2 linked regions of the Rattus norvegicus genome follow. The protein of the gene in region 1 purifies or fractionates together with the protein of each later gene. This does not show direct contact. Links are inferred from orthologs where the notes say so. Each region holds a gene or a part of one and is shown in the gene's direction. Other genes may lie near its edges. The genes, in order: Ptpn1 and Abcd3.

Region 1 (3,813 bases):
AAGACAGCCTTCCAAGCCTCCTGTCTCCTAGCAGGTGCTCGGAGTAATCCAGTGCTGTTCTTCCCCAGTTAAAATGTGCCCAGTATTGGCCACAGAAAGAAGAAAAAGAGATGGTCTTCGATGACACCAATTTGAAGCTGACACTGATCTCTGAAGATGTCAAGTCATATTACACAGTACGGCAGTTGGAGTTGGAGAACCTGGCTGTAAGTATTGACGAGTCCTCCGGAGACGGTGACTCGTTTCTGCTGATCTTAGGCCTTGGTGCTAACTTCAACTGTGGCGTTCTCAGGAATTCTGAGCCCTGTGCACAGTATGGCTTCATCCTGTGGTGAGCAGAACTTGCTGTTGTAGGCGCCAGTGCCCAGGCACCAGGGTACAAGCCACCTCCCACGGCAATCTCACCTTGACACCACTTAACACAGTTCCAAGGGAAAAGTCAGTTTCTTGCCTGAGAGTGGTTTGCTCTGCCTGTGGGATTTGGGGACATCTGCTTATTGAGGGAGACATTTCAGAGCAGCACCAAAGGCTTGTCTGTTTCATGGCAGTGAGGGCAGGAGAGCCTAGGCTTTGTTTGGGGTTGGAACTTTTAGAGGGTGGTTGATTGTATTAAGATAAGGTCTCAATAGTAGCCCAAGCTGGCCTCACATTTCCAGTCCGTCAGCCTCTGCCTCTGCAGTGCTGGGGTTATAGACAGGAGGCCTACTCAAGGTTTCCACTTGAGCCCCTTTCTGGGCCCTAGAACTGAGTCCTTGTAGAGGGAAGGGAAGCAGGGGGGACGTGGTAGGAGAGCCCACACTCTTTAGGTAAATACGACTGTTCTTGCATGCTTTCTTCTAAGCCGGTTTTTAAAGTATATGTGAGGCACCTCCCGCCTTGCACCCAATACAGGTAGTGTTTGGTTTTGCAGGGAGGTGGGCAGAGCTGCTTCAGGGTCTCCAGATGGATGGTCCTTCAGCTGCGTACAACATCCTGGATCTAAGCCACACTGAAAGGGTGGCCATGTCTTTGATGTGTGTTTGTCCCACAGCAGGGACCTTCTGTACTTTGCAGAAAGATAGCAACTTGGTATCAGCAAGTCAAGCCTTCAGTGTCTGTATCCCACTCTTTGTCTGGCACAACCTGCTGGCCCTCTCTGCAGCCCTGGGACCCTGCCCTCTGAGGTCTGCAGTTGGCCTCCTTTAATAATCCTGACCATGGAGGTGGTGGGATAGCTCATATATAAAGGTGCTTGCCAGTAACCCTGCAAGTTACCATCTGATCATTCAACATGCGGTACCCCTGACCCCCAGCAAATAGTTTTTAAAATATCAGACCATCTAGGAAAGAACAGAGCACCAGAGGCCATTCTTTTTTTTTTTTTTTTTTTTCCAGAGCTGTGGACCGAATCCAGGGCCTTGCGCTTGCTAGGCAAATGCTCTACCACTGAGCTAAATCCCCAACCCCCCAGAGGCCATTCTTTTTGTTCAGCTCCAGGGGCGCTGTGGGACAGCTATGGGAATGGGTATGGTCCTTGAGGTGAATGATGGTGTGGAGAACTCACCAGCAGTCTGGCCTCTGGAGTCACAGCTGATGCTTCACCTGTATGACAGCCACCTTACTGGCAAACCTGTCTTTGGAGACTTTTCTTGAAAAGTAACACTTGTCTGACCCATCCCAGTGTTCTCCCTGGGCCAGCCAGACCTGGTGCACATCCCAATCCCCGCCCCACCCCACCCTGCTGTACCTCTTCCCACACACGCACATAAACACAGGAAGGCTCTCTGAGATTTAAGATGCCAGTGGCATCATGGCGACTTTCCAGCTGAAACTATTGTGGCCACATGTGTGAATGTAGAAGGAACAGTAGGGTAAGAGGATTGTCCACTGCTTAAGGCTGTGGACAGATCCAGCCATACCCACTGAGGAAGGCTGGGCAGGAAGCGACTTGGTGCAAACATGGGGTCTGTGTAGATAATGCACTCAGTCTAACAGCATGTGTCTCTCTCTTTCAGACCCAGGAGGCTCGAGAGATCCTGCATTTCCACTACACCACCTGGCCTGACTTTGGAGTCCCTGAGTCACCTGCCTCTTTCCTCAATTTCCTATTCAAAGTCCGAGAGTCAGGCTCACTCAGCCCAGAGCACGGCCCCATTGTGGTCCACTGCAGTGCTGGCATTGGCAGGTCAGGGACCTTCTGCCTGGCTGACACCTGCCTCTTACTGGTAAGGAGGGATTTGCAAGCCTAGGAAGAGAGGAAACGTGCTTGAACCCACCCTTTTAGCTAGAGTTCCTGTTGCTGTCCACAGACCCCCTTCCTTGGAGGGCACCCTGCTGTGGTCTTTGATGCCAGCAGTTTCCATTGATGGTGGTTGAGCCCCTTCTAGCTTTGTCCATGGGGTTCTCCCAGTTGTTACAGGAGCCAGGTACCCTAGAACCCCCATGCAGGAGCTGAGCACCCTGGTTGTCAGAGAAGCCAGGTACCCCAGTTGACACAGGAGCCGGGTGCCCTAGAACCCCCATGATTCTTCTCTAAACTCGTCCAGCTCAGGCCCAAACGGTCCCAAGTCTGCTATGTTTCTCTCCCATTTCCCTGAGACCCTCCACCACCCACCCCTCTGTGGCTTTCTTCTGGCTGACCCAGTGTCCCTGGCTTGCAGATGGACAAGAGGAAAGACCCGTCCTCTGTGGACATCAAGAAAGTGCTGTTGGAGATGCGCAGGTTCCGCATGGGGCTCATCCAGACGGCCGACCAACTGCGCTTCTCCTACCTGGCTGTGATCGAGGGTGCAAAGTTCATCATGGGCGACTCGTCAGTGCAGGTCAGTGCAACTCTGCTTCAAGAGTTGGTTGGTTTTGGGCCTGGTTCCTAGCTGGGGATAGACCACAGAGCCTGTGCGTGCTCACCAGGACTACTCTGGGAAAGAAACTCCAGTTTAAAAGGTCCCATGCTGTCGAGGTCATAAGAAATGGCTCCCCTTCCTTAATGTCTGCCATTGCTCGAGTCATTAAACAACTGCTCCCTTCTGCCTGCCTTATTCATGCTCTGCAGAGCCCTGAGAGGAAGAGTGGGCTTGACCTTCTAAAGACCATGCCTTGTGCAGTCTGTGGGTCTTCAGAGGTGGAGGCACCACCAGTCCTGGGCCTGCCTGGCTACCCGAGACCCTAGCCCAAAAAGAGCACATTTACCTTCTCAATATTTGCCTGGGCCAAGGAGCCCAGAGCTGCTGCTGAGCTGTTGCCTGCTCACCAGGACGGACCCAGGGCTGGCATTAATGGGGCTTCTGCTGCCTTCTAAGGATCAGTGGAAGGAGCTTTCCCATGAAGACCTGGAGCCTCCCCCTGAGCACGTGCCCCCACCTCCCCGGCCACCCAAACGCACATTGGAGCCTCACAATGGCAAGTGCAAGGAGCTCTTCTCCAACCACCAGTGGGTGAGCGAGGAGAGCTGTGAGGATGAGGACATCCTGGCCAGAGAGGAAAGCAGAGCCCCCTCAATTGCTGTGCACAGCATGAGCAGGTAATGGGGGGCCTGGCTTGTGGGACAGGGTGAGAGGAAGCAGCTTGTCCAGAATCACATGAAGGCATTGAAAACTTTACAAGAGATGCTTCTGCATGCATGAGAAGTGGTGTTGCCTCTGTCCAACCAAGCTCCCATTGCCCCTGAATAGGGTCCTGTGAAATGACTGACAGGTTATAATGGGGTACCTGTGCTCCTAGTGGTGTTTGTCTGACTTGTTCAGTGTCGGAACAAAGGAGGTCGGGGTCGGATTGCAGCTTGCTCGCCTCACCCCGATGCAAGCATTGTTGAGCACCCAAGCTGTCTGAGGCGTC
Region 2 (3,813 bases), on another chromosome or scaffold:
GTATGTTTTAAAAGAGATGGTGTAACATGATTCGTGGGAAAAGTGAAATAACAGTGGGTAACATCTTAACCGCTGTTGCAGATATTGCCACTGTAGTTGGGTACCTGGTTGTCAGTCGCCCGTTCCTAGACCTGGCGCATCCGCGACACCTTCACAGCACCCACTCAGAGCTGCTGGAGGTAAGGTGCTTACACTGATGAAGACAACTCAGAGTTAAGGCTGTGCTCTGATTCAGAAATGTAAGCACAATCTAATACTCATTTGTCTTTAAGGATTACTACCAAAGTGGAAGAATGCTTTTGAGAATGTCTCAAGCTTTGGGGCGGATAGTTTTGGCTGGGCGTGAAATGACTAGATTGGCTGGGTAAGATATGCACTAATAATGCAACTGCATAGAACGGTTTTAAACGTGTGTTGTTCTTACATTGCTGGTACTCAGTTGACATTAAAACTGTGGGAGGTACTGACTCCTCCTACTCTAGGAAGCTGGTTTTGATAGAGAATGAGGGACGACTTCTCTCAGTGAGCTTCCCCTGCTTTCTGGAGGCAGCTGTGTGACTCTTAACTGGATTGGCGCCCTGTTCGTTTGCCGCCCTTCACGGACACCGGCCCTGGATAAGTTGGGGAATGAGGATACTTGGCAGCCTTCTTCTTTTATAGAAATTTAGTTAGTGAGTAGAAGTTTTACATAGAATATTTTTGCTGTCCACTATAGACTTTTACCCCCTAAGCATTTATACTAGCAATTGGGTTCTTTTTTTCCTCTTTTCTCCTACTCCCCCCCCCCCAAGCATTTTATTAAGGAGTGATTGGTGTATTAAAAAAATCATACTTGATGTGTACAAAATTCACGACTAAGGGACAAGTGTGTGTCTGTGAAACTGCCAACACGGAGTATACATGCACCGAGCACCGCCCACGGTCTCCTCTGGGACAGTCTGCTTCCTACACCAAGCTGGCGAACATTAACCCCCATTTGCTTCTCTGATGAGAAACCTTCCCTTTGACCTTCATGTCCTTCTTAACTCTCCAACTCCTGGTTCCTGGTCTGGTTTCTGTTGTCCAGTGAGAGCAGAGATGGTCTCAGTTTCCCCTTTGTGGAGAAGTAGTATGCATCAGTGCATACTTCTCTCTGAGGGAACGGCCAGTCTTATATGTGACTGCAGGTCCCTCCGTGGCTGCAGTGTGTACTAACAAGAACACGTGCTAGTGACCAAGGGAAATACGTGTCTTGCCTCTGGATGGGTGCTGTTGAGACGAGGATCCTGTGAAACTCCCTCCTCATTTCCCTGTCCCCTCTCTTTTGCTGAAGCAAAGTAGGATGTGTGTTAGTAATACTTTATGCTGAGGAGACGACCTTTAGGTTAGGTCTCTTAAGCTAAGCTACAATTTTAGACATTTCAGTTTATATACAAGATATAATAGCCTAGACTTTTGATTATGGTTTCTGTTAAATTTTAGTTTTACGGCTCGGATTACGGAATTAATGCAAGTACTAAAGGATTTAAATCATGGCAAATATGAACGTACAATGGTGTCACAACAGGATAAGGGTAAATATGACAATCATGGTTTGCAGTCATGATTTTAGGTCTGTCCTAATGTATAATATCTTAATAATTATTTCCGTTCAGGTATTGAAGGAGCACAAGCTAGTCCCTTGATACCTGGTGCTGGAGAAATCATCAATGCAGACAACATTATAAAGTACGTACTAGCCAAAGGCTCTGCTGCGCGCCGCACATTGATTATGCTTCATGGCAGCTTCTCTGCAGCTTGTAGTTGCATGTGCGACTTACAGTTGTCCTTCAAAAACTTTAAATAGCCTTGGTATGTCATTGATTTAAAAGGTTTGAGTATATACCTATACACACTTACGTATGTATAATTTGATGTTTGATATCACCTACGTATTGTAAAATAATGTCCCTGTTTCAGCTAATTATTGTCTTTTATTTCCATACCTGAGTGTGTGTGTGTGTGTGTGTGTGTGATTTCCTGTGTGTAGAGTGTATTTTTAACCATTGTTCCTGTGCTGCTGCTTAGACCTCGAACTCACTCATCTCCTTCATAAACCTGAGTGGCACCGCCTTCATTTCCCTGTTCCTCCACCCCAGCAACTCCTTCTCCATATGAGTTACATATGAACTACGCTTCTCTCTCTCAGTTCTTACCAGAGTGCTCTGTCATCAAAAAGAGAAATAGTTCAGTTCTTTTAAAAACATGTTTGTGGTGTAAAAAGTTTAAAACAAATTTTTACTCATGTGCTTGTGTGTGTTCCTGCTTATATGTGTGTGCACCATGTGTGTGCAGGTGTGTGTGGAGGCAGAAAAGGGCATTGGATCTCCTGCAGCTGGAGTTACACAGATTCTGAACCTGATGGTTGCTGGGCTCTCTGCAAGAGCAGCAGGGGCTCCTACCCGCAGAGCCATCTCTTCAGCACTCCAGATTCAGGTTTTTCTGTTTTCAAGGCTGAATAATACTCCCTTGTGAGAGCGTGTGCTTACACATACGATATATTCTTTATTCTTTTATCAGTTGAGAGACATTAAGGGAGTTTCCCCAGTTGGTTTGCTGAATAAAACCTGCAGTGAGTGTGGGGGTGCAGATACCACTGTGCGGCACCCGCTTATTTCCTATGGACAGCCACCTGCAATTAGGAGTGCAGTCTGAAGCATTAGGGCAGTGAGGCTAAGCGAGGAGCCTCCACATTGCTTTCCTGTCAGCGCGCTGACAGGGTTCAGGGCTCCTCTTCCTGCCTCTGCATCTGCCTGCACTCGCCTGCACTCGCCTGCACTTGCCTTTGTCTCTAGAAGCCAGGGAGGACTGACGCTCACTGCAGTTTTCATCTGCGTTTCTGTGCTGGGTAGAGATCTGGAGAGCCTTTTCAGTTGCATTTTGTGCCTGAATGTATGCTTTTAGCAAGTGCCTGAATGGTCTTTTGCTCTGTTGGGTTATTTCTATTTGGTGTATTAATTATTTAAGTTCCTTACATGTTTTAATTTCCTCTTTTCTATTAATGTCCTTTCTAGGTTTGATCATGTTCCTTTAGCAACACCAAATGGAGATATCTTGATCCAAGACCTTAGTTTTGAAGTAAGTTTTAAAAATGTTGATGACTTTAAATCATCTTCAAAATATGAATTGAAAATTGAATATTTCAATTAACTTTGAATTATCTCTATAAATCCATATAATCACATTTGAGACTCTCTTTGACATCTAGAAATCTCATTTTCTTAAAATGGACTGGCCTTCAAATCTCAGTGATTACTAGCACGTCAAGTTGATTTTGTTGGCGATATGCTCAGGAGCTAGGAGACGTCACAAAGGAACCAGCTTTTGTTCCTAGCACCCTCGTGTTGGCCATTCTCTCTCATCCTCTTTCTCTTTGCATTTTACTTATGTATTGTGTGTTGTTTGGGGGTGAAGCACGTGTCACACTGAGTGTGTCAGTCAGAACACAAATTGAGTGAGTTGTTCTCTTCTACTGTGGCTCCAGGGGTTAAACTCAGGTCATCAGGCTTGGCAGGGAGCGTCTGCCACTGACCCATATCACTAGCCCTGAACAATTCACAGCACAGTTGCACCTAGTGTAGCCATCCCAAGTAGGATATCAGCCAAATAAACAGTGTGTTTTCCTAACTAACAGCTGACATGATAGGTCATGGGAGCATGAAAAGGCAACCTTGACTATGTTCCGTGTGATTTGTATCTTGAATTTTGAGGATTACTGTTAGGTTATTTGTGCCCACTGGCACACTTCTGAAAATCAGGATTTCTTTCTTTTGGAAAGTCATCAGAAGACAGACT

Evidence for each region.
Region 2: the proteins of Ptpn1 (region 1) and Abcd3 purify together in Homo sapiens (affinity purification with mass spectrometry; 3 studies listed by BioGRID and IntAct, with this or other methods). This does not show direct contact. The link is inferred for Rattus norvegicus from reciprocal best matches to the Homo sapiens genes PTPN1 and ABCD3.

The regions. Positions count from the first base shown.
Region 1 is NC_086021.1:177,098,951-177,102,763, forward strand, and holds part of Ptpn1 (tyrosine-protein phosphatase non-receptor type 1), read left to right. Parts: intron 1-68; coding exon 69-206; intron 207-1,994; coding exon 1,995-2,204; intron 2,205-2,639; coding exon 2,640-2,801; intron 2,802-3,232; coding exon of another isoform or gene 3,233-3,277; exon of another isoform or gene 3,278-3,278; coding exon 3,279-3,499; intron 3,500-3,813. UniProt on the Homo sapiens protein: Tyrosine-protein phosphatase which acts as a regulator of endoplasmic reticulum unfolded protein response. Mediates dephosphorylation of EIF2AK3/PERK; inactivating the protein kinase activity of EIF2AK3/PERK.
Region 2 is NC_086020.1:212,548,673-212,552,485, reverse strand, and holds part of Abcd3 (ATP-binding cassette sub-family D member 3), read left to right. Parts: intron 1-81; coding exon 82-179; intron 180-272; coding exon 273-364; intron 365-1,461; coding exon 1,462-1,553; intron 1,554-1,634; coding exon 1,635-1,707; intron 1,708-3,032; coding exon 3,033-3,096; intron 3,097-3,813. UniProt on the Homo sapiens protein: Broad substrate specificity ATP-dependent transporter of the ATP-binding cassette (ABC) family that catalyzes the transport of long-chain fatty acids (LCFA)-CoA, dicarboxylic acids-CoA, long-branched-chain fatty acids-CoA and bile acids from the cytosol to the peroxisome lumen for beta-oxydation.